Linked DNA regions of Daphnia pulex. The protein of the gene in region 6 purifies or fractionates together with the protein of the main gene of each other region. This does not show direct contact. Links are inferred from orthologs where the notes say so. Each region holds a gene or a part of one and is shown on either strand. Other genes may lie near its edges.

The links. Proteins that work in one complex are often made in the same cells at the same time.
Region 1: the proteins of transcriptional coactivator YAP1-A-like (region 6) and multiple PDZ domain protein-like purify together in Homo sapiens (affinity purification with mass spectrometry; 6 studies listed by BioGRID and IntAct, with this or other methods). This does not show direct contact. The link is inferred for Daphnia pulex from reciprocal best matches to the Homo sapiens genes YAP1 and MPDZ.
Region 2: the proteins of transcriptional coactivator YAP1-A-like (region 6) and poly [ADP-ribose] polymerase 1-like purify together in Homo sapiens (affinity purification with mass spectrometry, with the first as the bait; 3 studies listed by BioGRID). This does not show direct contact. The link is inferred for Daphnia pulex from reciprocal best matches to the Homo sapiens genes YAP1 and PARP1.
Region 3: the proteins of transcriptional coactivator YAP1-A-like (region 6) and T-complex protein 1 subunit beta-like purify together in Homo sapiens (affinity purification with mass spectrometry; 3 studies listed by BioGRID, with this or other methods). This does not show direct contact. The link is inferred for Daphnia pulex from reciprocal best matches to the Homo sapiens genes YAP1 and CCT2.
Region 4: the proteins of transcriptional coactivator YAP1-A-like (region 6) and E3 ubiquitin-protein ligase CHIP-like purify together in Homo sapiens (affinity purification with mass spectrometry; 3 studies listed by BioGRID and IntAct, with this or other methods). This does not show direct contact. The link is inferred for Daphnia pulex from reciprocal best matches to the Homo sapiens genes YAP1 and STUB1.
Region 5: the proteins of transcriptional coactivator YAP1-A-like (region 6) and 60S ribosomal protein L18-like purify together in Homo sapiens (affinity purification with mass spectrometry, with the first as the bait; 4 studies listed by BioGRID). This does not show direct contact. The link is inferred for Daphnia pulex from reciprocal best matches to the Homo sapiens genes YAP1 and RPL18.

What each region holds. Positions count from the first base shown.
Region 1 is NC_060026.1:2,899,295-2,903,517, forward strand, and holds the start of multiple PDZ domain protein-like, read left to right. Parts: upstream 1-1,423; 5' UTR 1,424-1,586; intron 1,587-1,660; 5' UTR 1,661-1,707; coding exon 1,708-1,723; intron 1,724-1,799; coding exon 1,800-2,248; intron 2,249-2,773; coding exon 2,774-2,889; intron 2,890-4,223. Other genes in the region: Down syndrome cell adhesion molecule-like protein Dscam2, read left to right, coding at 1-215. UniProt on the Homo sapiens protein: Member of the NMDAR signaling complex that may play a role in control of AMPAR potentiation and synaptic plasticity in excitatory synapses. Promotes clustering of HT2RC at the cell surface.
Region 2 is NC_060024.1:8,492,887-8,497,060, forward strand, and holds the start of poly [ADP-ribose] polymerase 1-like, read left to right. Parts: upstream 1-1,374; 5' UTR 1,375-1,532; intron 1,533-1,615; 5' UTR 1,616-1,648; coding exon 1,649-1,762; intron 1,763-1,827; coding exon 1,828-1,972; intron 1,973-2,039; coding exon 2,040-2,191; intron 2,192-2,262; coding exon 2,263-2,474; intron 2,475-2,531; coding exon 2,532-2,745; intron 2,746-2,838; coding exon 2,839-2,921; intron 2,922-2,992; coding exon 2,993-3,118; intron 3,119-3,176; coding exon 3,177-3,275; intron 3,276-3,339; coding exon 3,340-3,500; intron 3,501-3,569; coding exon 3,570-3,727; intron 3,728-3,790; coding exon 3,791-3,857; intron 3,858-4,115; coding exon 4,116-4,174. Other genes in the region: uncharacterized protein CG1161-like, read right to left, coding at 311-454, 517-642, 706-936, 1,019-1,084. UniProt on the Homo sapiens protein: Poly-ADP-ribosyltransferase that mediates poly-ADP-ribosylation of proteins and plays a key role in DNA repair.
Region 3 is NC_060023.1:8,135,619-8,139,657, reverse strand, and holds T-complex protein 1 subunit beta-like, read left to right. Parts: upstream 1-1,239; 5' UTR 1,240-1,416; coding exon 1,417-1,419; intron 1,420-1,656; coding exon 1,657-1,830; intron 1,831-1,888; coding exon 1,889-2,154; intron 2,155-2,252; coding exon 2,253-2,556; intron 2,557-2,610; coding exon 2,611-2,738; intron 2,739-2,943; coding exon 2,944-3,118; intron 3,119-3,174; coding exon 3,175-3,352; intron 3,353-3,422; coding exon 3,423-3,626; intron 3,627-3,692; coding exon 3,693-3,865; 3' UTR 3,866-4,035; downstream 4,036-4,039. Other genes in the region: CCR4-NOT transcription complex subunit 7-like, read right to left, coding at 1-17, 82-391, 466-490. UniProt on the Homo sapiens protein: Component of the chaperonin-containing T-complex (TRiC), a molecular chaperone complex that assists the folding of actin, tubulin and other proteins upon ATP hydrolysis.
Region 4 is NC_060019.1:9,014,910-9,018,509, reverse strand, and holds E3 ubiquitin-protein ligase CHIP-like, read left to right. Parts: upstream 1-1,353; 5' UTR 1,354-1,549; coding exon 1,550-1,639; intron 1,640-1,721; coding exon 1,722-1,848; intron 1,849-1,908; coding exon 1,909-1,980; intron 1,981-2,052; coding exon 2,053-2,180; intron 2,181-2,264; coding exon 2,265-2,378; intron 2,379-2,445; coding exon 2,446-2,502; intron 2,503-2,580; coding exon 2,581-2,697; intron 2,698-2,754; coding exon 2,755-2,880; 3' UTR 2,881-3,100; downstream 3,101-3,600. Other genes in the region: CD82 antigen-like, read right to left, coding at 1-184, 308-523, 717-791. UniProt on the Homo sapiens protein: E3 ubiquitin-protein ligase which targets misfolded chaperone substrates towards proteasomal degradation.
Region 5 is NC_060017.1:4,092,350-4,095,090, reverse strand, and holds 60S ribosomal protein L18-like, read left to right. Parts: upstream 1-1,255; 5' UTR 1,256-1,356; coding exon 1,357-1,359; intron 1,360-1,495; coding exon 1,496-1,582; intron 1,583-1,641; coding exon 1,642-1,848; intron 1,849-1,908; coding exon 1,909-2,178; 3' UTR 2,179-2,241; downstream 2,242-2,741. Other genes in the region: TATA element modulatory factor-like, read right to left, coding at 1-209, 292-410, 470-604, 683-812.
Region 6 is NC_060025.1:6,891,490-6,895,075, reverse strand, and holds the end of transcriptional coactivator YAP1-A-like, read left to right. Parts: intron 1-208; coding exon 209-345; intron 346-405; coding exon 406-759; intron 760-840; coding exon 841-956; intron 957-1,018; coding exon 1,019-1,418; intron 1,419-1,551; coding exon 1,552-1,670; intron 1,671-1,729; coding exon 1,730-1,813; 3' UTR 1,814-3,086; downstream 3,087-3,586. Other genes in the region: FUN14 domain-containing protein 1A-like, read right to left, coding at 3,124-3,306. UniProt on the Homo sapiens protein: Transcriptional regulator with dual roles as a coactivator and corepressor. Critical downstream regulatory target in the Hippo signaling pathway, crucial for organ size control and tumor suppression by restricting proliferation and promoting apoptosis.

The DNA.
Region 1 (4,223 bases), on a different chromosome or scaffold from region 6:
AGTCGTGGACGTTGAATCCTTTGATGGAATCGGGCGACAAAACATTGGCCAGCTCCTCGTCCAGCAGCAGCATTGTCCACCGCCCCAAAGCCAGCCGGAATGGTGGAGGTCCGACCCATTCCATCGGCAACAACAATAAACAACAACGTCAGCCACAGCAGCAGCAGCAGCATTCAGCAGAATCCTCGCCTCCGGATCATTCAATAGCCGTCTAATCTATCGCCGGACACATTTCGCCTCTCCTCCAACTCCTCCGCCGGAAATCCTCTCCTCTTTGTGTGTGTTTGTATTTCCCCCCTTTTATTCCCGAGCTGTATATATATTCTCTCAACACTCGACACACACACAGACAGACAAAGATATGCACTTTTGGAAATTGAAATCGATTTATTTGGGGGCCTGTTGTTATGCCTAGAGCAGCGCCCAAGGATTATGGAAACGCGTCAAATACACACCAAACTGACTGTACACAAGTCTCTCTATACATTCCGCTCGCAAAGCACACAATGGCTTATCTTTCTAGATCCATCGCGCTCCCCTTTTATATATTTATATAATAATAAATACATAAATGGATGGAAGATAAATCTACAGATTTATTCCTCGCCCGTGAATGCCTGTGCCAAATGGTCCACTAGGGCGAATCGGCTTTATGTGAATAACTTTTGGCCGGAATAAAAACGTGAAAAGAATTTCAAAGAATGTCAAAATAAAATGTACTGTCGTGAGTGCCGGACTTGGGAGCTTCGGCACGACTCCTCCGGTTGGTATTAAGCTGCAAGTGTGTGTGTGTGTGTGTGTGTGCCGGACGAGCAAGTTTTTCGGGAACGATAGGAAACACGCTCCAAGTGCGCACCGGGAGAGAGAGCGTGTAGTTTAGTTTTGGAGGAAGGGAAGGTGGGGGGGTGGGGGTGGGGATAGAATAGTTAAATACAAAAGTGGGAGGCCGCGCCGGGAGGGAGTGCTAACGAGATTAGACACGGAGGTGATTTGTGCAGCCAGTCCTGTGCACTGTTGTGTTGTGTATATGACAACGTCGGAGCCCGAATGGAATGCGGGAGACTAGACCCGCCTTTTTGATTGGGTTTCAGGCCCTAGCCTAGTCTGGCGCCCAACGATTTTGGTCGGTTTCCTTCAACCAACGCCATCTGGTGGCAGACATTCACAACTTTTATTTCATTCCAAATCAAATTTCTTACGATTGAGTTGCGAATAAACTTGAAAATCAAGTGGATTGAATGGAATTTAATTATTTCAATTCTTTAGTAAAGTGAAACCCGATTAAAGTTGATTAAATTGAAATTCTTATAGAAAAAGGGGGCTGGAACAGTGTTGCCAAATTCGGCCGCAGAGCGCTGCGTGAGGTGGGGGCCCAGCATTGGAATTCGCATTTAAAAAGTCGGACCTTCGCCTTGCCATACGAAAAACAGGTGCATTTTGTGTTTCATTCACTCCCGTGTGTGTTGGCTTTTTTCGAGGGGAGGGCGATCTTATGTTGGAATTCAAGTCTGTTTGATTTTTTCGTTCCTTTTTCCTTTGTCACCTTATTTGCTTTTCGTTTTCGGTTTAGTTGGCTTTTTTCGACGGTAAGTGTGACTCGTTTTGACAGCACGTTTTTTCGTTTCCCCATTTGAAATTGCGATTGAATTCCTTGTTCAAGGTTTCGCGGAGGTGAATAGCCGCCTCTGATTATAAAACGCTGTGGGAATGCCCGTGACTTCAGGTGAGCTCAACGAGTGTAGTAACCATTGTTGGAGTGAGCTAATTTTTCTTGTTCGTTTTGACTCTCTTGATCGCAGATGCCAAGAGGGCTCTGGCTCTTCTTGAGCGAGTACAGCAAAAAGTTACAAATAACGATGCAGGCAATGGTGTGGCTTCCCAGGTCCAGACGGACTTGGACCTCCTCACGAGCCTCCTGCAGAACCCTGTGCTCAGGAACATCCTCAAGCTGGAAGACTCGCTTGAGGAATTGAACCAACATCTGATGCACCACCCGTCCCTGCTGCCAAGTGATTTTGACATCGACAAATCAGGGACCCTGGTTGTCAATCAAAACATCCTCCAGACTAATCGTTCATCATTCAAGACCAAAGGGGGGAAGTCGAGCCCTTCCCTGAGCAACACCAGCTCGTCCAAGCAATCCACAGTCTCACCAGAGACCCACAAGAGAGATGTGGCCAAAACTGGAGCCGCATTTCAACAGTCCATCCTGCAGGCAGCTGCCAAGAGAGAAATCATTGCCATTCAGGTATAAGAGAAAACAAATACTATTGAGACATCACAAGGCATTTTGGCCCCCATTGCGGTGCCGTGTTGTGCAACTCGTCCCTTTCATATTCGCCAAGTCAATTGTTCCTTGAAGATTGGAGCGCCCTTACTTGGTGGCTAGTAAAAGAAATGAAAAGGATTCACGCACACACAAGACAAAAAGCGAGTTGTATCCAATCTCCTTTTTGCGGTTTCCTGAAAGAGGAGGAAGGAGAGGAGGGGGGCGCGTGCTTTTCGGTTCGAAACATTGATCAGCAGAATTTGATCGAAACAGAGCGTGTAATTTGGTCTTTTGACGTGGTGCGTGAAAAGAGTCCCCAGAGTTTGAAGTGAGATGAAGAGCACTCGTCCTCCTTGGTCCTCGACCTCCATTTCAATTGAATCAATAAGTCTTTCTTCTCTCTCTCTTTGCCTTTGTTCCCCCCTCCTACCATCTTTTAAAAAACATGGGGAAAAACACAATTTTTTAAAAAACCTTCTTTTTTTCTTTCTTTCTCTTTTATAGCTGAACAAGCCGGAAGGACAAAGCTTGGGATTCAGCGTCGTTGGATTGAGATCAGATCACAAAGGAGACTTGGGTATCTTCGTTCAAGAGATACAACCAACCGGAATCGCTGGAAGGTAAGAAAAGATCTTATTTCATCAGTCGTGTGTACATCCTCCTTCTCCACCACTCAGCAACAACCGCACCAATTTCTTTTTTGATCTCGACAATGAAATTCCGCTACACATTTTTTCTCGGGAATCAACACACACAAACTCTTCCGAATTTTTCCCCCCTTATTTTTGTTATTTACTCCGCGCGTTGGCCAGAGTAAACAGGAGCCTTGTCTTTTATTTATTTATTTTTCAACGGATAAGATCCAGCGGCGTCTATTGACTCACACACACGCTTAGCTGCTGAGCTGCTCCCTTTTATTTTGAGGTCGAATTCGAGTAGCGGGAAAATCCTGAGCGTACACAACATTCAAGTTTCAAATCGTCCAACGTGGGGCGCTGAGGTCGGCCTCCTCCATCGCCGGATGAAAAAAAGGAAGAAAAGGAGTTGAGAGGCGACGAGAGGGGAAGATTGGCTTGCATGGCGCAGACTCGGCGGACGCAGCCATCGGTCTGGATGGCAGTCGAGCTCCAAGTTCTTGAGCGATCGGGCTCTGCGATAGCGTCGACATGCCGACGCCCGCCGACGTCCTCGCACCGCTCACATCTCACGGATTGTTGTTCCCCTTGTGATTTTTTACCCATTTCCAAAAAAAGAGAAAAAAGAAGGATTTCTCCTTTCCCTTTTGTCGTGTGCCCAATCACCACCAAGTGAAAAAGAAGAAGAAATCGCCAGAAAATAACTGTGGAGAGCCTCTTCGATCGCCCTTGACTCTTTTGTGTGTGTGTGTGGGTCTGTGAGCGTCTAGAGAGTCGTGGTCTTTGACGACCGTCTCGAGTGTTGGGTTTTATTTTTCCTCGTTGCGGAAGAGATAAAATTCGTCGTCCTCCTCCTCATCGTCGTCGTCGTCGTGTGTGTCATTGTCGCTCCCCCCTCGCTGATAGCCTGGCGCCAAGTCTTCCCAACAAGCTCCTTCATCTATTGATCTCACGGCTTTCTCTCTCTCTCGTCTTACGGTCAATGGCGTTGAGAGAACATCGCAGGCCGTCCTCATAGCGGCCAACACACATCCTCCTCTCTCTACCAAAGAGACTCAGAGTTCCTCCAGGGGGGACCGTGGGAGATTGAACAGCCCCCCGTCTCTTTTCAAATCCACGCGGGGCTGAATCCGACAGTGTCATCATCTACAAGGAAGGAGAAGAAAAGAAACACACACACACGAGCCCCAGAGTTCTTCTTCTTCTTCTTCCTTTTAACACACACAAAAAAACTCGTGTTCTGTTCTGCGCTCACCCCCATCCAACAACTGGTGGAAAGGCAGAGAGAGAGCACCGATCGATAGGTATATTCTTTTTCT
Region 2 (4,174 bases), on a different chromosome or scaffold from region 6:
AGGTAATATGATTTATTACTTTTGTATATTATCAAATAGACACCAACGAAAATTTCTTCTGAATCTTGATTTTATGACTTGTCCGGCTGCATTCTAGTTTCGCGCATGATTAGTAGGCCTACAGCAACCTACTAATGTATCCTACCAAGTTACATTCCCTCTGATATTTTTCAATGAAAAAAGAATCTTAAACTCTACGATATGAGACTTTAATTTTTTTATTTCCGTTGGTGAATGAAATATTTGAAATAAGAATAAGAATAAACGCGCAAACATCTACAGATCATAGAATTGGAATTTAGAAAAGTGATTAGTTAAGAATAGTGTGTCGATCATAAATATGTCGACGTTGTTCTTGAACAGTTTTCTTCCACTTATCAGTAGTTTGGCCAACACGGTTGAGCACACCTGCTCCACTTGCCCTTAAAGGTTGAGAATGGGTTTCACTTTCATCCTGTAGGATAAATTAGTTAAAAAGATGATTGAAGGAAGAAAAGGGAGAAATTTATAGAATACCTCTTCATTATTATGTTCTTGATATTGTGTAGTGGTTTTCTTGTTGAGAAGGGGATCAAGACAAACAAGAAACAGCATGTATATGACTAGTAGAGATATTATCCAGATAACAATAATTACAACAACCTGAAATTTAAAAAAATTTATATTAGAATAGTCTACAATACATTATGTCAACAGTTTTTTTGCCTTGATTGTTGTTGTGTTCCTGCTTTCGTACTTGCATTCACATCGTGGACAAAATTCTTTTTCCTTTCCTTTGATATCATCCCCTACCCTTGGGAGCACAACATTTGTACAATCACATTTGTTAGGTGGAACATTTTCAATGTAAAGTTTTCTATGTGACTGAGTTCCGTTTACTACGGCGGTATCTGGACAAATGCACTTGCATCTGACATCCTCATACTGTGCATTCACCTATTAGGACAAAAACAAACAAAACCAAAATCATTAAATTTCTAAGCAATGTTTTCTTAATAGTAAACATAAAAATCAATACATCACTGATGAATGAGAAGATGAAAAGGACGAAAAAAGAAAGAAAGAAACTCTTTCGAAGTGTCATAATTGCAGCAAAATCCGATACTGATTTGTCGGAAACAAAACAGCTGACAGACTGTCGACCACAGCTTGTGGCGCCAACTGGTTTGCTATTTAAAAAAAAAAAGAAACATTGTTTTTGTTCAAAGAGGAAATGGGTCGTTAAACATGTATTACAGCAATAAAAATTTAAACGTTACTGTGGAATTGAAATTTAATTACTTATTCTTTTTAGTTCTAAATAAACTTTTCTCCATTTTCGCCACTTAGGAGCCCCCATCTGACAACACTGTTTTGTTCCTAGCGCGCCATCTCGAAATTCTACTGTTACCTAAAAACGTGCCCAACTCTGTCGGCTGCGAAGTGCGAACTGCGAAGTTTGGAGGACGTTGTACTCGAAGTAGTGGAAAAGATTGTGTTAAAAGAATCAAGAATTCAAACTATCTGAGTGCACTGGAAATTGGAATATATAGGTATGGCCCATTTCAATCTCATTTAAAATTATGAACTGCTAATGCTAATTGTGTTTTTTTTTGTGATTTTTCCGAAATCCCAGAAATCGTGGGACGTTCATTTTCAGAAGAAAACGATGGCGGATGATTTACCTTTTCGAGCAGAATATGCAAAGACGGGTCGAGCTAGTTGCAAGAAATGCAAAGAAAACATTCCTCAAGGCACTCTACGACTTGCTGTAATCTTTCAGGTAACATTTTATTTTTTATTGTTTGGTTCTGGACTTTGTACACTAGTACAGTATTGTTGTTTTAGGCTGCCAAATTTGATGGGAAAATGGTTTCGTGGTACCACTTTGATTGCTTTTTTGAAAGGCAACGGCCCAAATCAGCTGGTGACATTGAACATTTTGATCAATTGCGCTGGGAAGATCAAGAGAAAATTAATCAGATGCTCAAAAGTAAAACATTACTAATATTGCTATACATTGTATTTAGTTGATTTCTAACTATTTCCTTTTTCCAAAGAAATCAGTGAAGGTGGGATTGCTGAACCAAGTAAAAAAGGAAAAGGCAAGGGGAAAACAGCTAAAGTTGCTGAACCCTTTTCTGATTTTCTAATTGAGTATGCAAAATCTGGGAGAGCTGCATGTCGAGGCTGCTTAGAAAAAATTGCAAAAGTATTATAATCATTAAGTGCAAGTTCTAAAACGATCCATGTTCAAACATGTCTATAATGTTCAAATTGTAGGATGAATTGAGGATATCAAAGAAAGGATACGACACCAAAGGAGGCATGAGACATGGACAAATGTTGGATATGTGGTACCACGTCAAATGTTTTAAAGAGCGACGAGAAGAATTAGAATTTGTTAGCGGAGTGGATACAATCCCTGGATTTAAAGATCTAACTGCCGACGACAAAAAAGTTCTCTCAAAAGAACTCCCTGCTCTTTCCGCTAAGTATTGACAAGAATCGAAATTTGGAAAATCATGTATTATAACGGTTTCTTTTTTCAGCAAACGAAAAGTTGACGGGGATGCTGTCGACGGACCTTCGGATGCAAAGAAGATAAAGAAAGAAGAAAAAGAAAATGAACAGCTCAAGGAAGAGATCAAGAAGCAAAATAAAATTCAGTTTAAATACAGAGACCAGTTGGAAACTCTGACAAAACAAGAACTCCAGATTCTGCTGGAATACAACGATCAGCAAATTCCTTCTGGAACATCTGAAGTACTTGCACTTTTTATTAATATTTTTATTTTCTTCTGAGTGTTAATCAATATGTCGCATAGTTAAACTATATGCAGCTATTTATCTTTTTAGATGTTGGACCTTCTTGCCGATGTAATGGCGTTTGGAGCTTTGCTTCCATGCAATGAATGCAAAAGTGGACAGTTTTTCTACAAGTGATTAAAATAATAGAAATTTCAAGTCGGTAAGCCTTACCTATATAGATTTACTTCTTCTTCTACAACAGGAGTGGCATGGGTTATCAATGCTCTGGAAACATGAGTGGCTGGACGAAGTGCCCCAACTCGACAACAACTCCCGAAAGGAAACCATTCAAAGTTCCATCGGACCTCTCGGAAAATTACTCATTTTTGTAATAAGGCTGTTGTTGCCATACATTAAGTTACTTTCTAAACTTCATTCTTCTATAGGAAAAAGTACAAATATGTTCCCGGACAGAGGGTAATCCCAGCGCTAACTCGCACTATTCGTATGAATCCAACCGAAGAAGTGAACGTGAAAAAAGAAAAGTAGCTATTTACTCAACTAGATAACGTGCTAGTTCTGTCTATTAATGTTTTCTTTTTCTTTTAGATCCGATTCGAAACGCCCACCCACACTAGAAGGCTTGAAATTCATTCTTGATTCCAAGCTTGAAAAGTCTAAAGAAAAAGTCGAAGCTGAAATAAAAAAATTACTAGGTTCTGTAGGTTCGCGCGTTACCGAAAAAATTGCAGCCGTAATTTCTACGAAAGGTTAGAAATTTGAGTGGGTAGTTTCTCTTATGAGATTAAGCCTTTATATGTGGTATTACTGTTTTACAGACAATTTAAAAGAAAAGGATTCAAAGTTGAAGAAAGCGTCTGAACTCGGTATTCATGTTGTAGACCTTAGCTTTTTGGATGCAATCAAAGCAAGCACTGGCGAATCTGCCTCATCCATTATAACGAAGAAAAACATCGCACCATGGGATTGCCACAGTGTAAATTTTTTTTCTTTTATTGCCCTAATTTTTGAGATTTTTTAAAAACTGTAATAAATCTAGATCGAGAAGCGTCTTGGTTTGGACGAGTCGGGTGCCACGAAATCTTCTGGAAAATCGAAAGGCTCAGGTTGGTTGGACTGTTTATTACTTTTAATGTTTCCCAGTAAAAACTGTAGTATAAGTATGGGGGAGTCATACGCTTTAAACTTGCAAGTAAATCAAGTTCAAGGTCACAACTCAATCCTAAATTAATTGAGTCGTCTGATGACTATGAAGGGATCCAAGTCTGCCCTCATAGACAGATACGCGACTAACATATTTGTTGATTTATTTCACGCTAAAAACGAAGCTGAATCTCGTAACTAAATTGTGTTTTCGTTTGCAGAAAAATCTGGTTCAGGCATGTCCGATAAACTGAAGCTGAAACTTAAAGGAGGAGGAGTA
Region 3 (4,039 bases), on a different chromosome or scaffold from region 6:
GTGCATACATATCTTCCCTATTAAACAAAGATTAAGATTTATAGTCTTCAGATGAGAAATAATTTGGTTTAGAAACCTTACCCAAGATTAAACTTGAAATTGAATTGCCAGGTAGTGTACCCAGAAGGTGTTTTGCCGTCTTTGTTCAGGAAACTCAAGCCCAGTTGTATGATTTTCAGAAGATCTACATTACACTTTAAAAGCTGGTATTGGTAATCAGCAGGGCTGCGAAATTCACCGATGGGACGGGCAACTACTCCTGGGAACTCAGTATCCATGGCTACATAATTGTATGCTTGTACAATCTGGCGTATATGTCTAAATTCGTCTTCCAAATTGTGAGCCCAGACTTCCCGAATCCCACACTCTTCATTACTAGGATGCATATTTCCTATTTAAAAAAGTAAAAGTGTAAAAATCATTGTCCTAGAAAGTTGATTTAATGAAATAAATAAAGCTAGTTACGATTTATACCAGTTGAAGTTGGCATGGCTATGGATAGTGAAGTTTCAGAAACCCAGTGATCACACTAGATTACACAAAGAATCAAATTCGTATAAACTAGCATATCCAGCAGCACATCACTCGAGCCTTCAAAACAATAAATTGATAAAAGAACCCTACAATTAATTCGATATTAACACCACTAGGTTAAATTTAAAATGATATTTGACACATCGACTCAGTGGGAACTTCACCTGAAATGTTTTCCGAGTTTTACAACAGCCTCTATATATATACAGTGGTGCCATCTTCGAAAATAGCGATAGATTGTTTGACAGAAAAAAACAGCTGACAAACGAAATGCGGCGATAGCCCCTTAATAAATAAAGCGCGAAACAAAATACGGAAAAAATATGGAACGAGTGAACGACAACCCTAAAACGTCAAATTGAACTGCGGAGCGGGAGTTTTCGTTCATTACAAATGTTGAAAACGCAAGACAAATCGATTAACAAAAGGACATATTGACATTATTCAATACTCACAAGTAATTATGTTTTTCAAGGAGTACGTAAACCAAAAATACTTGCCTTTGTAAGATGCTAACTTGCTCAGAGTAAGAACTCTAAAATAGGTTGTAAACAAATTAATTGGAGACTAACTTCAAACCGTACTTCCAAATTCGATCGTTGGTTCCAATCTAATAATCTGGCGGAAGTAATGCCAAACTTAATATTTTTGCAGATATCGCACGCAGGTAGGGCCTATATGATGTTCAAGTTGAATCTTTTGCATGTACGTTCCGCGTTTTAGTGTGACTCCGAGGCGACGTCCAGCGGCAAAGGATCAGGTTCGTCTAAACGGTTTCCAGCTACACCTTTCTTCTTTCTGCCACAGAGAGAAGTCCTCGTGCTTGTGGTTGAACGTAATTTTGCAAGTCAGAACCGAATCACTTCAGCCGGCTATCTAAAAATGGTACGATATTCGTCATTTCTCGTTTATTTACTTGTCTGTATCAAAGTCGCAATTCACTTTTCAATAATCAATTGTGAAAAGTCGGTTTTTTTCTCTCTTTTATGTTTTAATGGCGTACTGTCATTTGACAGAAAGTCACATGGTTGATATGTAAATTTGCTCATACTGAATTTTTTCTTTCTGAGTAAATGGAACCAAATGATCATGTAATCTTTTATAACTTTATGTATTTTTTAGGTCTCACTCAACCCAACCAGAATCTTGAAACATGAGGGTGAAGAAGAGAAGGCTGAAATTGCTCGCTTGTCCTGTTTTGTTGGTGCCATTGCCATTGGTGAGCTGGTGAAAAGCACTCTTGGTCCTAAGGGCATGGACAAAATTCTTGTTGGTGTTGGCCGCAATGAAGGACAAGTAGGTTTAAGATTTTTCTTGTGCTTGATTTTACTTAGTCATTAAATTCCTTTGTTAGGTTGAAGTAACAAATGATGGTGCCACCATTTTGAAAGCAGTTGGAGTTGATAATCCTGCAGCTAAAGTCCTTGTAGACATGTCAAAGACCCAGGATGCTGAAGTTGGGGATGGCACAACTTCAGTGACTGTCCTGGCCTCAGAGCTTTTGCGTGAAGCTGATAAGCTTGTTGAAATGAAGTTCCACCCTCAAACCATCATTGCTGGATGGCGTAAGGCCTCTCAGGCTGCCAAAGAGGCTCTTACTAATGCAGCTATTGATAATGGGTAAGATAGACATAATAGTTTCATTTTGCACAAAAGACCAACACAACATGTATTTGATCAATGTATTGATTTTTTTTAAAATCTCGTTTCATTTATAGGAAAGATGAAGCTAAATTTCGCGAGGATTTAATGAACATTGCTCGAACGACTTTGAGCTCAAAAATTCTTTCTCAGCACAAAGAGTTCTTTGCCAAGATCTCTGTCGACGCAGTTTTACGTTTGAAAGGATCAGGTAACCTTCAAGCTATTCAAATCATCAAAAAGCAAGGAGGTACCCTCACAGATTCCTTCCTCGACACTGGGTTTCTGCTTGACAAGAAACCGGGAGTCAACCAACCAAAGAGGGTTGAAAATGCCCGTATCCTTATTGCCAATACACCCATGGACACAGATAAAATCAAAGTAATTTAAACTTCGATGACTATCAAAGAATTTGAACTTAATCCATATTTTTAGGTTTTCGGCTCACGTATCCGCGTTGATTCCGTTGCTAAAGTTGCAGAATTAGAGTTGGCTGAGAAAGAAAAGATGAAGGAGAAGATTGAGCTCATTCTTAAGCACAATTGCACCGTCTTTATCAACAGGTTTGTCATTCTTTCATAATTCTTTCATTAATTTGAAATTTGCTATCTTATATGGCTTCAGAAATTCTTTTGTTTGTTTATGAAATATTTGAGATTCTGTCAGTTAGCTTATTTATTATCCATGTATTCTAGAATTTCTGTAGTAAATTTTATAATTTATGGTTGATTTTTAAATCAAAAATTTTTTATTTGTGTGATTTTATAGACAATTGATCTACAACTACCCAGAACAACTGTTCGCTGATGCCGGTGTTATGGCTGTGGAACACGCCGACTTTGATGGTATCGAGCGCCTTGCGTTGGTAACTGGAGGTGAAATCGTCTCTACTTTTGGCCATCCCGAACTTGTCAAACTTGGACGCTGTGATCTTATCGAAGAGGTTGAGCAACTTTCACTTTCTGGTAGAAAGAAGAACTCACGTAATTTGTTTTTTAGGTCATGATTGGTGAAGACAAATTGTTGCGATTCTCTGGCGTTCCATTGGGTGAAGCTTGCACACTTGTGTTGCGTGGTGCAACCCAACAGATTCTTGATGAAGCTGAACGTTCAATTCACGATGCTCTGTGTGTTTTAGCTTCGACTGTTAAGGAAACACGCACCGTCTACGGTGGAGGTACTATTTTTGTATTCCATGTTATCCGTCGTGCACCTGGGATTTTACCATTTTATTTCAAAATCCCAAGGTTGCAGCGAAGTACTCATGGCCATGGCAGTATATGCTTTGGCTGCCAAGACTCCGGGTAAAGAATCGATGGCTATGGAGGCTTTCGCCCGCGCTCTTCTCCAGCTACCCGTCGTGATTGCCGACAATGCGGGCTATGACTCAGCCCAACTTGTGTCAGAGCTCCGAGCAGCACATTCAGAAGGGAAAGCCACCTTTGGTCTAAGTATGTCGTCAGAAAATCTTCATGTTGCACATGCAATTCTAAAATGTGTTCATTGATTGTAAATAGATATGGATCTCGGCAAGATCGACTGTATGCAGCAGTTGGGCGTGACTGAATCGTTCGTTGTCAAGCGCCAGGTGCTTGTATCAGCAGCTGAAGCGGCTGAAATGATTCTTCGCGTTGATGACATCATTAAGGCAGCACCTCGCCGTCGTGAACAAGACAGGAGTCATTGTTAAAGTTGCACTGTCGATGCACAGCTTACGTCCTAACTTGAACTCGCATCCAGTTTTTTCCCCCCTTAAGTGGTCCGCTCTTTTTGCTCGAGCCCACTCTTTTGCTTCGTCCTTCTGTACTGGTCCTATAATCTACTACAGCTGATACACTGAACAATTGCTTAGTAAAAGAAGTTA
Region 4 (3,600 bases), on a different chromosome or scaffold from region 6:
AGGCGTGAATTCCGCAGCAATTTAGCTTGCTTCGGATTTCATCCACACGAATTTTTGAAGTTTTATTGTGGTGATAATTAGAAATGTTTTCCTTCAGAGAATTTTCGGTTATTTTGGAAAAGCGAAGAACCATTATTCCTCCCACAATTACGAATCCAAGATTTAGTAATACGAAAACCAGGTACTGAAGGCGAGCAGTGCGATGCAATCATTCATCGTAGCGAAATATTCCATTTAGTCAAAGGAGAAAGAAAATTACTCTAAAATCTTTTTTTGTTTTTTTTTTTTTATACAAACACGAGCTTACGCAAGATATCAGGCATTTTTTCTCGCCAAAGGCACCACACATCCCGAATAGGCTAAGAAATATGAGTAGACCGCTGACGGCAATTGCAACCACGATGTTCATAACCATATATTTGTCGTTTACCACCAAAAATTTCTGTTTGTCTGATCCTTTTGCAAATTCTTGACGTTGTACAAGTGACGACGCCGACAAGGAGATTAATACAATGCCGCTCAACTGCATTTCAAAGAATATGTCAGTATCATATTTTATGAAAAGCAATAACAAACCCAGTCTTCCAAACGCAACATTTAATTCGATAATTTCAACCATCTTCAGTTAAATTCTTTAGTAAACTCACGTTGGAATAATATAACTGTTAATATTTTAACAAATCTACAATTACATTGTAATAGAATAATATGTTTACCAGGATTAACAAGTTGAGGCACAAAAAACTCCATCGTAAAATCTTGTGGGAACGGAACGTAACCTCGTCCGTCATTTCCCTTTGACTGTTTTTCCAGTTACTATTTCAAATCGGAATGAAAGCCCGTGTGATAAGGAAACTTACTGTACCACTAACAGGAAACCCAAAATCCGAGTAAAAGAAAATACATTTGCAAACAAGCAATACAGCCGGAACCCAAACGGTATAAAAAAGTGACGTCTATCATTAATATCGTAATCCATAAAACCACGTTGACTCCACCAGTTGGTCTCACGCTTCGAAGTTTTAACTCCTGAGATGGTCACACGATTAAATAAGTAAATAACCAGAATAACCACTGCGGATCGCCTACTGTTCTCTAGGTTAAAGCCCAGCAGTGCGCAGTCAAAATTGTACGCGCGTGTATCCAGGTCGGATGTATATCACTCCAAATAACCTTTTCTTTTGCTTATTTCAATAAATTCTCTGCTTTAACAGCTCTAATTAATTTTCTTATCCTAATTTTCAAATTAGATAGGAATCGTTATGGCGTCTACTGCGCGTATTCATCATAGATTAAAATCTATTTTTATTGGATGGTAGATGGCGGTGAAAAGGTCTTTCCACAATCCGCACTTTACTTTACTTTCATCCGCATTTTATAGTTTATTTATTAAAAGCGTTTTTGTTGTTTTCCGCTTTAGTGTCAGAATATCTGACGTTAATTGGAATTGTGCAATTACGTTTTCGTATCTATTTTATGTGATAGTGTTGCTTTTTTAAATTCTTTCTCGATCCTACAGCACCCAATAGTTTCTTTTTTAGAGAAGAAAATGAGTGACAGAGAACACAAAGATCAGGGGAATAAGTTGTTTTTAGCTCGACGTTTCGATGAAGCAATTTCATGCTATTCCAAAGCCATTGTAAATTTCTTTAATTAAATTAAGCATAAATTATTTTGTTTTGCAACGCGTAAATCAAAGTAATTGTAATTGTTTTCTTTAGCTTAAAAATGGTTCTGTTCCACAATACTACACAAATAGAGCTCTCTGCTCTCTCAAGCTTGGCCGTTGGGATGCAGTAGTGCAAGATTGCAAAAGTGCTTTAGAGTTAGACAACACTTGGGTGAAAGGTTTTTAGTATAAATTCTTCAAAATACTCTGAAAATGCTATATATTGCTATTATGTTTAGGGCATTTCTTTCTGGGCCAAGCTTTAATGGAAAAAGAATGCTATGAGGAAGCAATAAAACATCTTCAAAGGGGTACTCATTTCCCCAACTTAACATAAATTTTGAACACATAAAATCTGATTATTGAAATTTGCTTGTTATTAGCCCGTGATCTTTCGATGGATCAGAAACTTAATTTTGGGGATGATATTACCAGTCAGTTAAGACTGGCAAAGAAGCATCATTTTACAAAGCAGGAGGAGAAAAGAATTTCACAAGAAATCGAACTACAGGTAGTCTGTTAATAACATTCTCTTTGTCCACTCCACTTTGCAAAAAATTATGATTCATTTGAAACTTGGATTTTATTTTGATAGATGTATATAAATAGGCTCATTCGAGAGGATCGAGATCGACAAATCGATTTGGTTAGTCAAGACAAAGAATACAGTTCAGTGGAAAACGAAATTTCGAACATAGAGAACGTCACCGTGAGCATATCTAGAGTATTTTTCTTGTTTCGTTAGTAGACTAATAATACTTGATTAAAATCGGTAGGATCGCTACCTGGCTGAATTGAATGACCTTTTCGCAACCGTCGATGACCGAAGAATGGTACTATAAATTATTCAACTGTGTGTTTCAGTACGTCTTATACCATTAAGAAATTGTCTTTGTAATTGTGTCGGTTAGAAACGTGAAGTTCCAGACTATTTATGTGGCAAAATCTCTTTCGAGATCATGAGAGATCCAGTCATCACTCCTTCAGGAATAACCTACGATAGGAAAGACATCGAAGAACATTTGCAGGTAAGTGAATTCAAAATTGCCTAGTAGATATTAGCCAAAAGATTTGTTTTTACGCAGCGAGTTGGACATTTTGACCCTGTGACGCGAGTTAAATTGACCAAAGACCAATTGATTCCAAATTTCTCCATGAAAGAAGTTGTCGACTCGTACCTGACCGAAAACGAATGGGCTCAGCACTACTAACCACTTTTTTAAGGATCATTCATTGATTTTGATTCTCTTAAAAACTCCGCCGCATTGTATTAAATGAAATCGATATATATTATGATTTGAATCGCCGAGCCCCAGTTGTGATGTTTCCTATCGGGTTGGATGATAATCAGGAAGTAAATGTTGCTATACAGTCTTTCGCTATTGATTGCACATTGCTGTTGTACTTCAATAGACGATGCTGGAAATTTTATATATACCTGATTATGAACCTCCTATTAAATTTGATTTTATTGGGATCAGAGTTCGCCTTGAGCAGATTCTACACCTGTAGGATTGCTCCAATCTTTCAATAGGTTATATTCTTTAGACTAAATTATCGTCTCCTCTGACAATTGTTTGTGGGTGATTGATTTTATTACTTTAGCCAAAGGCAATTGATGATTTGCAGCCGAACTCTATTGGTACGTTTCCTTTCATTAAGCACTTAATTGAGCTTGGCGTGGTTCGTTGTGGATGTGGCCAAGGACAATTGTATCAGAGTTGGTTAAGTTGGTCATTAATCAGGGGGGTCGACTTGAACGGACGGTACTATCGATCCTGGTACAGCACGGGACTGGACCGATATTCACTTAAATTATAATAAACGTCCCATGGGTAAATTGTGTTTGCCACGTCGTCAACTACAGTTATTATCTTATCAGCACTCTAGAGAGAAGTCTGTTGTGTATCTTGCAGTGTGCATACAAGGGC
Region 5 (2,741 bases), on a different chromosome or scaffold from region 6:
ATTGTTGAAACTTCATCTCTGTTTTGTGTGCGATGGTGGTTGGTTGTTTCTTCTCTGGCATCACTTTTGGTATCACTTTTCCAATCCATATCAGCCAAATCATTTTCAGGACTGATGACGGTAATGGAGCTGGAAACTGACATAGAGCTATGGTAACTTTCATTTACATTCGTTTCTTCTATAGAATCAGTCAGAACCACATGATCCAGCTAAATGACATGAAAATATAACAAAATACAATCAAATACTTCTTATTCCTGAACAACTTTATCATCTATTTATTTTCCTTACCTCATTGGGATTGCTTTTTTTTTCAAGGTCTCCTGCAGGAATGGATGTTTCAGTATGGGTGCTTAAATCTTTAGCTGTTGTTTGAAGTACATTTGAAACTGGGGCCTGAAAAACTGCTGCTATTAAACAAAATTACTTTATTATCAATCGAATGACTTGACACACACATGTTTAGTACTTTTTTGCTGATCTCTTTCAGACTTTGAGTCTGGTTCACTCACTACGACATCTTCTGAGCTTGTTCTGGTTTCATCAGGTGGATCATTTTCCTCTTTCACCAAATTGAAGGATTCAAAGAAGTGTCCAATAATTTCTTGAATGACAAATCATGCAACAGAACTTGTTATTAAATACATTCATCTATCATAGTAGGCAACTGAGATACATATACCATTTTCAATTGGTTTATTTCCAACAGCATCTGGATCTCTAATGTCAAGTGCTTTGTCTATGGTTTTTTGGGCTTCTTTTAGTGCATTTTTAGCCAAATTTGCAATGCTACTGGTATTGAGCCAGCTCATTTTCGATGTAGACGGTAGCCACGTCAGCAATAGCTTTCAGCTTTTAAACGACAAGCAAATATCCGAAAATTCCAAAAGTAATATCTCTCATAAGAATCTAATACAGAAAGCCCTATTTTTTAAATACTTGCCTCATAAACTATAATTGGGCCGTCATTAACACAAATCCAAAAAAACAAAACAATCAAAAGTTGTAATTTCTAGCAGACAAATGTCAGAAAGCTATTGCTTTTTGTATTGCATAACATGGTTGCTCAAAGCATTTATCTACCCTACTTTCGATCGAGTAAAATTTTCCAAAAAATAATTAGCATCGTCATCTATATGACTCTAATTTTCTAAAGAATTAATACAGATACTATGTCATCTTATAACTGGTTTTAAAAGCAATTTAAAATCTAGTCTGAACTCTGAAGGCAACGTGTGAAAGTACGCTCTACAGGAACGATATGGCAATGTTGAAGTTATCCATTTCTAAGACCGAGAAGTCCCATCAGAGTCTTTTCGCTTTGCCTTTGGTCAGTCCCCAAGTGGTAGAGAAACAATGGTAAAGACTAGCTCGTTTTCATCTAAAATTATCTTTTACATCCTGTATTTCTCAAATACTTTTTAGTAACGTGCTGATTTGGAGTGATTGTTGGATGTTTTTACTAATCGATGTATTGTAATACCTCTTTTTTCAGGGTATTGACATCAACCATAAGTACGACCGTAAAGTCGTCCGACGTGAACCGAGGTCTGAAGATGTCTATCTTCGACTTTTGGTGAAGGTAAGAATCATTGAAATTTTGTGTCATTGGACTATTTTGTAAAATCGTTTCGTTTACAGTTGTACAGGTTTTTGGCTCGTCGTACCAAGGCCAAGTTCAATCGCATCATTTTGAAGCGATTGTTTATGTCGAGGATCAACCGTCCACCACTGTCGGTGTCTCGCTTGTCAAGACATATGAAGAAAGCCGGAAGAGAAGGAAAGATTGCTGTTGTCGTCGGAACTTTGACAGATGATCCTAGGATCTTCAAAATCCCCAAGCTCACGGTAACTTTTTTAAAAAATTCATTTTGCAATATCGTGTCTTATGGTACATTCCTTCTTCAGGTGTGTGCTCTGCGTGCAACAGAGAGAGCTCGAGCTCGCATCTTGAAAGCTGGTGGTCATGTTTTGACTTTCGATCAGTTGGCCCTGCGTGCACCAACAGGCAAAAATACTATTCTTATCCAAGGGCGGCGCAAAGCTAGGGAAGCTAACAAACACTTCGGACCTGCTCCTGGTGTTCCTGGATCACACACTAAACCATTGGTTCGCTCTAAGGGACGGAAATTTGAACGTGCTCGTGGTCGTAGGTCATCTTGTGGTTACAAAAAGTAAATTTCTTCTTTCGAGAAGTTTTTGTATTGGTTATCAAAAGATTAATACAATGCTTGTAACCAACTTCCTCTAATTGGGTATGCACAAACTCTAATTGGGTATGCATAAATTTGAACATCAATGTTGTATTCAATGATGTATGAACACTTACATGCCACTTGTTTAAGTGGAAATATGAGACGTGTTACAGAACAGGCGATCGTAGTGTTCGAGTACATCATTTTAACAGTTTAGGGGTAAGAAAATGTAACTTCCAGGTGAAATAGTTCAAATAACTGGCAAACAAGACAACTTTCATGAAAATCGGATCAAGACTACAAATAGAAAGTTGGAACTGCATACAATGGACACTTGAAGTCTGGTAGCACACGAACAAATTGATTGCCACCTGAAAACTTGACACAGCACGAACCTTGCAAGCAGTGTCCTTTTACATTTCATTCCTAACTGTTTGGTGATACGAGATAAATATATCGCAAGTATATTAAGGGGAAGTTCAGGCGAAACGAGTAGACTACACTGCTTTAAATTGACGATTACAAAGACACAAGTCCTTTATATCG
Region 6 (3,586 bases):
TTTATCTGATTCTATTAGCGTGAAACAAATCCAAGGTCTTTCCAACATGGTACCGAACAATTTCAGTCAGGTTTGTCCTAGACTATTGTGTCTAGTCGCGTGTGTTTAGCGTTGCCGTTTATCATTGTCAAATAATTTGTTATTTACGTGTCAGACATTCTACCGATTTTCATCTTGCTGATGTGTTTTTTCTTTTTCTTCTTTACAGTCACCTGACTCAAACAACAACATGGGAGGATCCACGGAAAAAATTACTGCAGCAACAGATTCAGCCGTTGTCACCGGCTCCTCCACCAAACATGGTAGCTCCACCTTTACTCAGTGCCGTTACGGCGCCAGTTGCCGGTAAGTGAAACAATACAAATTCCTGGCTTTCCGGTTATGTAACTTTCATTCAATTAACAGGAAGTAATGCAGCGGCTGTCTTGGCGGCATCTCAGCAAGCTTTAACCCAAGCTTTGGGTCCTCTACCGGATGGATGGGAACAAGCAGTTACTCCGGAAGGAGAACTCTATTTCATTGATCATCACACGAGAAAGACTTCGTGGTTTGATCCTCGCCTTCGTAATAGCAACTTCTTTTATTATTTTGTATTTATTTGTTTTTCCCCACTTGCTCGCCACGCTAATGTCTCGTTTCTGTTTGTTCCATCATCAGCTATTCACATGCAGAAGCCACCCATGGTACACGCCGCTGGAACACAGAGCGCTGCCGCCTTACAGCAACAACAACAGATTACTCAGCAGCCAGCTGCTTCAGGTGAGGCTTATTTTATGAAAACAAATCTCAGAAGTGCTGACGGTAAACATTCAATTTGATGTTTTTATTTTTATTTAATAGGAACTTCACAGCAAACTTTGACGCCTGCCCAGGCTGCCCAGCAACAATTGCGATTGCAAAGACTTCAGCAGGAGCAGGATCGTTTAAGACAGAGACAACAGGAAATTATAGCCATGGTATTTTAGTTCATGTGAAGGTGTTGTGTGATCTTTGTTTTCCATTGATGAATTCATTGCAGATGGAACGAGAAACTCGCGTCCGTCAGCAAGAAAACAGCACCGGTTCCCAACAGCAACCGGAGTTCGCCATGAGACGGAATCCTCTTCATACGCAATCGAGTAGCAACAGTGCAGCGGCCAACGAGCTTAGCTCCAACACGGTGGATCCTTTTCTTAGTGCAGCGTCGGCTGCTGCTACCGCCGCCGTTCCCCATACTTGCGTCAATGGAACAGGAAACGGAGCGGCCACAAATATCCCTCAGTCTTCGACAGCTCCACCTTCGTCATTGGCTACCGACTTTCATGCTCGTCAAGAGTCGGCCGACTCTGGTTTGGGTATGGGTGGCAGTTATAGCTTACCTCACACACCCGAGGATTTCCTCGCCTCTATGGATGACACAATGGACACTACGCTTGATTGTAATTTTGATTTTTAAAATTAGTCTTAATTTAAATTTTTAAATTTTTATTTTAGTTTAATTTTTCCTATATTATTCATTGTTTCACATCGTTGAGTTCACATTTTTAGTAACGGATTGTTTACGTTGTTTAGGTCCTGCTTCTGTTGGCACTGTCGATATGAACGACATGAACGACATGAATGGAGGATTAGAGGCTGGCGATCTACCTGCTCATATGGACACTACTGACGATCTCGTACCTACTTTGGATGTAAGAACATACATTTCACAATGTCATTTCGATTTAAAACAACAATTATTTTTGAACAGTTGGGAGAAGAGTTATCGACGGACATCCTGAATGACGTTCTTTTGAATTCAAACAAAGTCGACAACGTCCTTACTTGGCTCTGAAACAGCTCGTCTTGGTTGAATCCCAAATTTATAAATATCTTCTATGGAATGCCAATATCGTCGATGGTTTTCTTCAACACGTCTTGAAGTTTACGCATCTATTGGTTTGGCATTGGGCGTGATCAACTAACTTTTACATTTTGGCCTTAACCTTTAGTATGGGATTCATCTTAACGAATATTCAGAAATTGGCAATTATTTTGAATATGTAGAGCTAACGACTAGCGGTAGAGTTAATCAAAAACAATTCGGTTCTGAAAGTGCAAACGTTTTAGAGGAAGATTAGCTCACAATGCGTATTATGCATTGTCGTACTAGCTTATCATTTACGTATTAAGAGTTATTGTTGGGAAACGGAAGGAGGAGCTAACAAGATTTTCGATATTTGTTTCGTTTGATTCCGAAACCATCACTTTTTAAAACATATATGCAACTATGACTGTAGGTTCTTGTTCTAGGGAAGATGGTTCTAGGTGTAAAAAAAAAAAGATGAGATCCCGGTCCGGTCGCGCGCCCGTTCCAGTATCGTCGTCTTGAGAGAAACTGACGTGCCTATAAAACGTGTGAAGCAATAAGATGCCTGGGAATTCCCTCGTGTGTCGGTCAAAATTGTGTGTTCCTTTTCAATGCCTTTGAATTACCTGTAAATGTGCTCGTCAAATGATTCTTTCTGCATACCCTGTCCAAATGTTTTTGACAAGCCACTCGCAAACCGAATACGAAGCAGGAGATATATCATTTGAAAATGTCTTGGTGACCCGTCCCCCTGTATGGCCATGATTACTAGCCTTAAAACTGGATTTTTCTTGCGCTTCTCGCTCGTTCTCCATTATTATTAAATTTTTTTTTCTGATGCAGACAGTTAACTTTGCACCACCACTCTTGGCTTTCACGGACCTCGAGTAATTTAAACGGTCCAAATTGTGTGTAACACATGCCTTGAAGAAATGTCTTAAATTTCAGTGCCTTCATTTATGATTTGACGTTATCTGGTAGCTCGGATTTATCGTTTTGTTTTAACAAGGTGAAGTTGAGGGGGTTACAGGAAACGTTATTAACTATGTATAACTTCATTGTATTGGTGACGGGCGAACTTTTCGATTTATTTGATACATGCTAGTTTCCCCAAGGCCTTTTAAGTGTCAATTAGAATAGTGTCGTACTAGAATTATTACAATTAGAAACTGTTAAAATGTTGCTCCGAATGGCCTTATGCGATTTATTTCTCTCTTGTCTGTTGACTTTTGTCCATGAATACATCTTTCTACAAGTGCTGGAGTCTTTAAGGTCTATGCATCAATCATTAACGCTTAAAAAATTACTCCAATAAATAATCCAGCCAGAGAACCTCCGATGAAACCAATATAAAAGGCCTCGGAACCATCCGATGTTTTCTTGCCGATGAGTTTATGGTACCAGCTGCGCGTTCCTGCAGTTCTCTTTCGGAGAACTCGGCCAGCTTTTTCTGCTTGTTCGTCCAAATAGTCGGCAGCCTATGAAATCATGAATACGACACAGCCTATCAACTTATGTGAAATATGAAAAGAATAAACAAAAAAAAATTCTCCACTGAGGATTTATTCTTTAAAAAAATGTTTTGTCTTCGAGTGTGATGATAAAAGCAAGCAGAAAATAGCTATGTACATGGTCTCAACCCAGTAAATGAAAAAAAAAAATTCTTCAGTTGTTACTTCATATTTACATTCCTCCATTCTTCATACAGCTTAGCTTACCACAATGAAATATCTTAACTAAATTGAATGGGTGATTAAA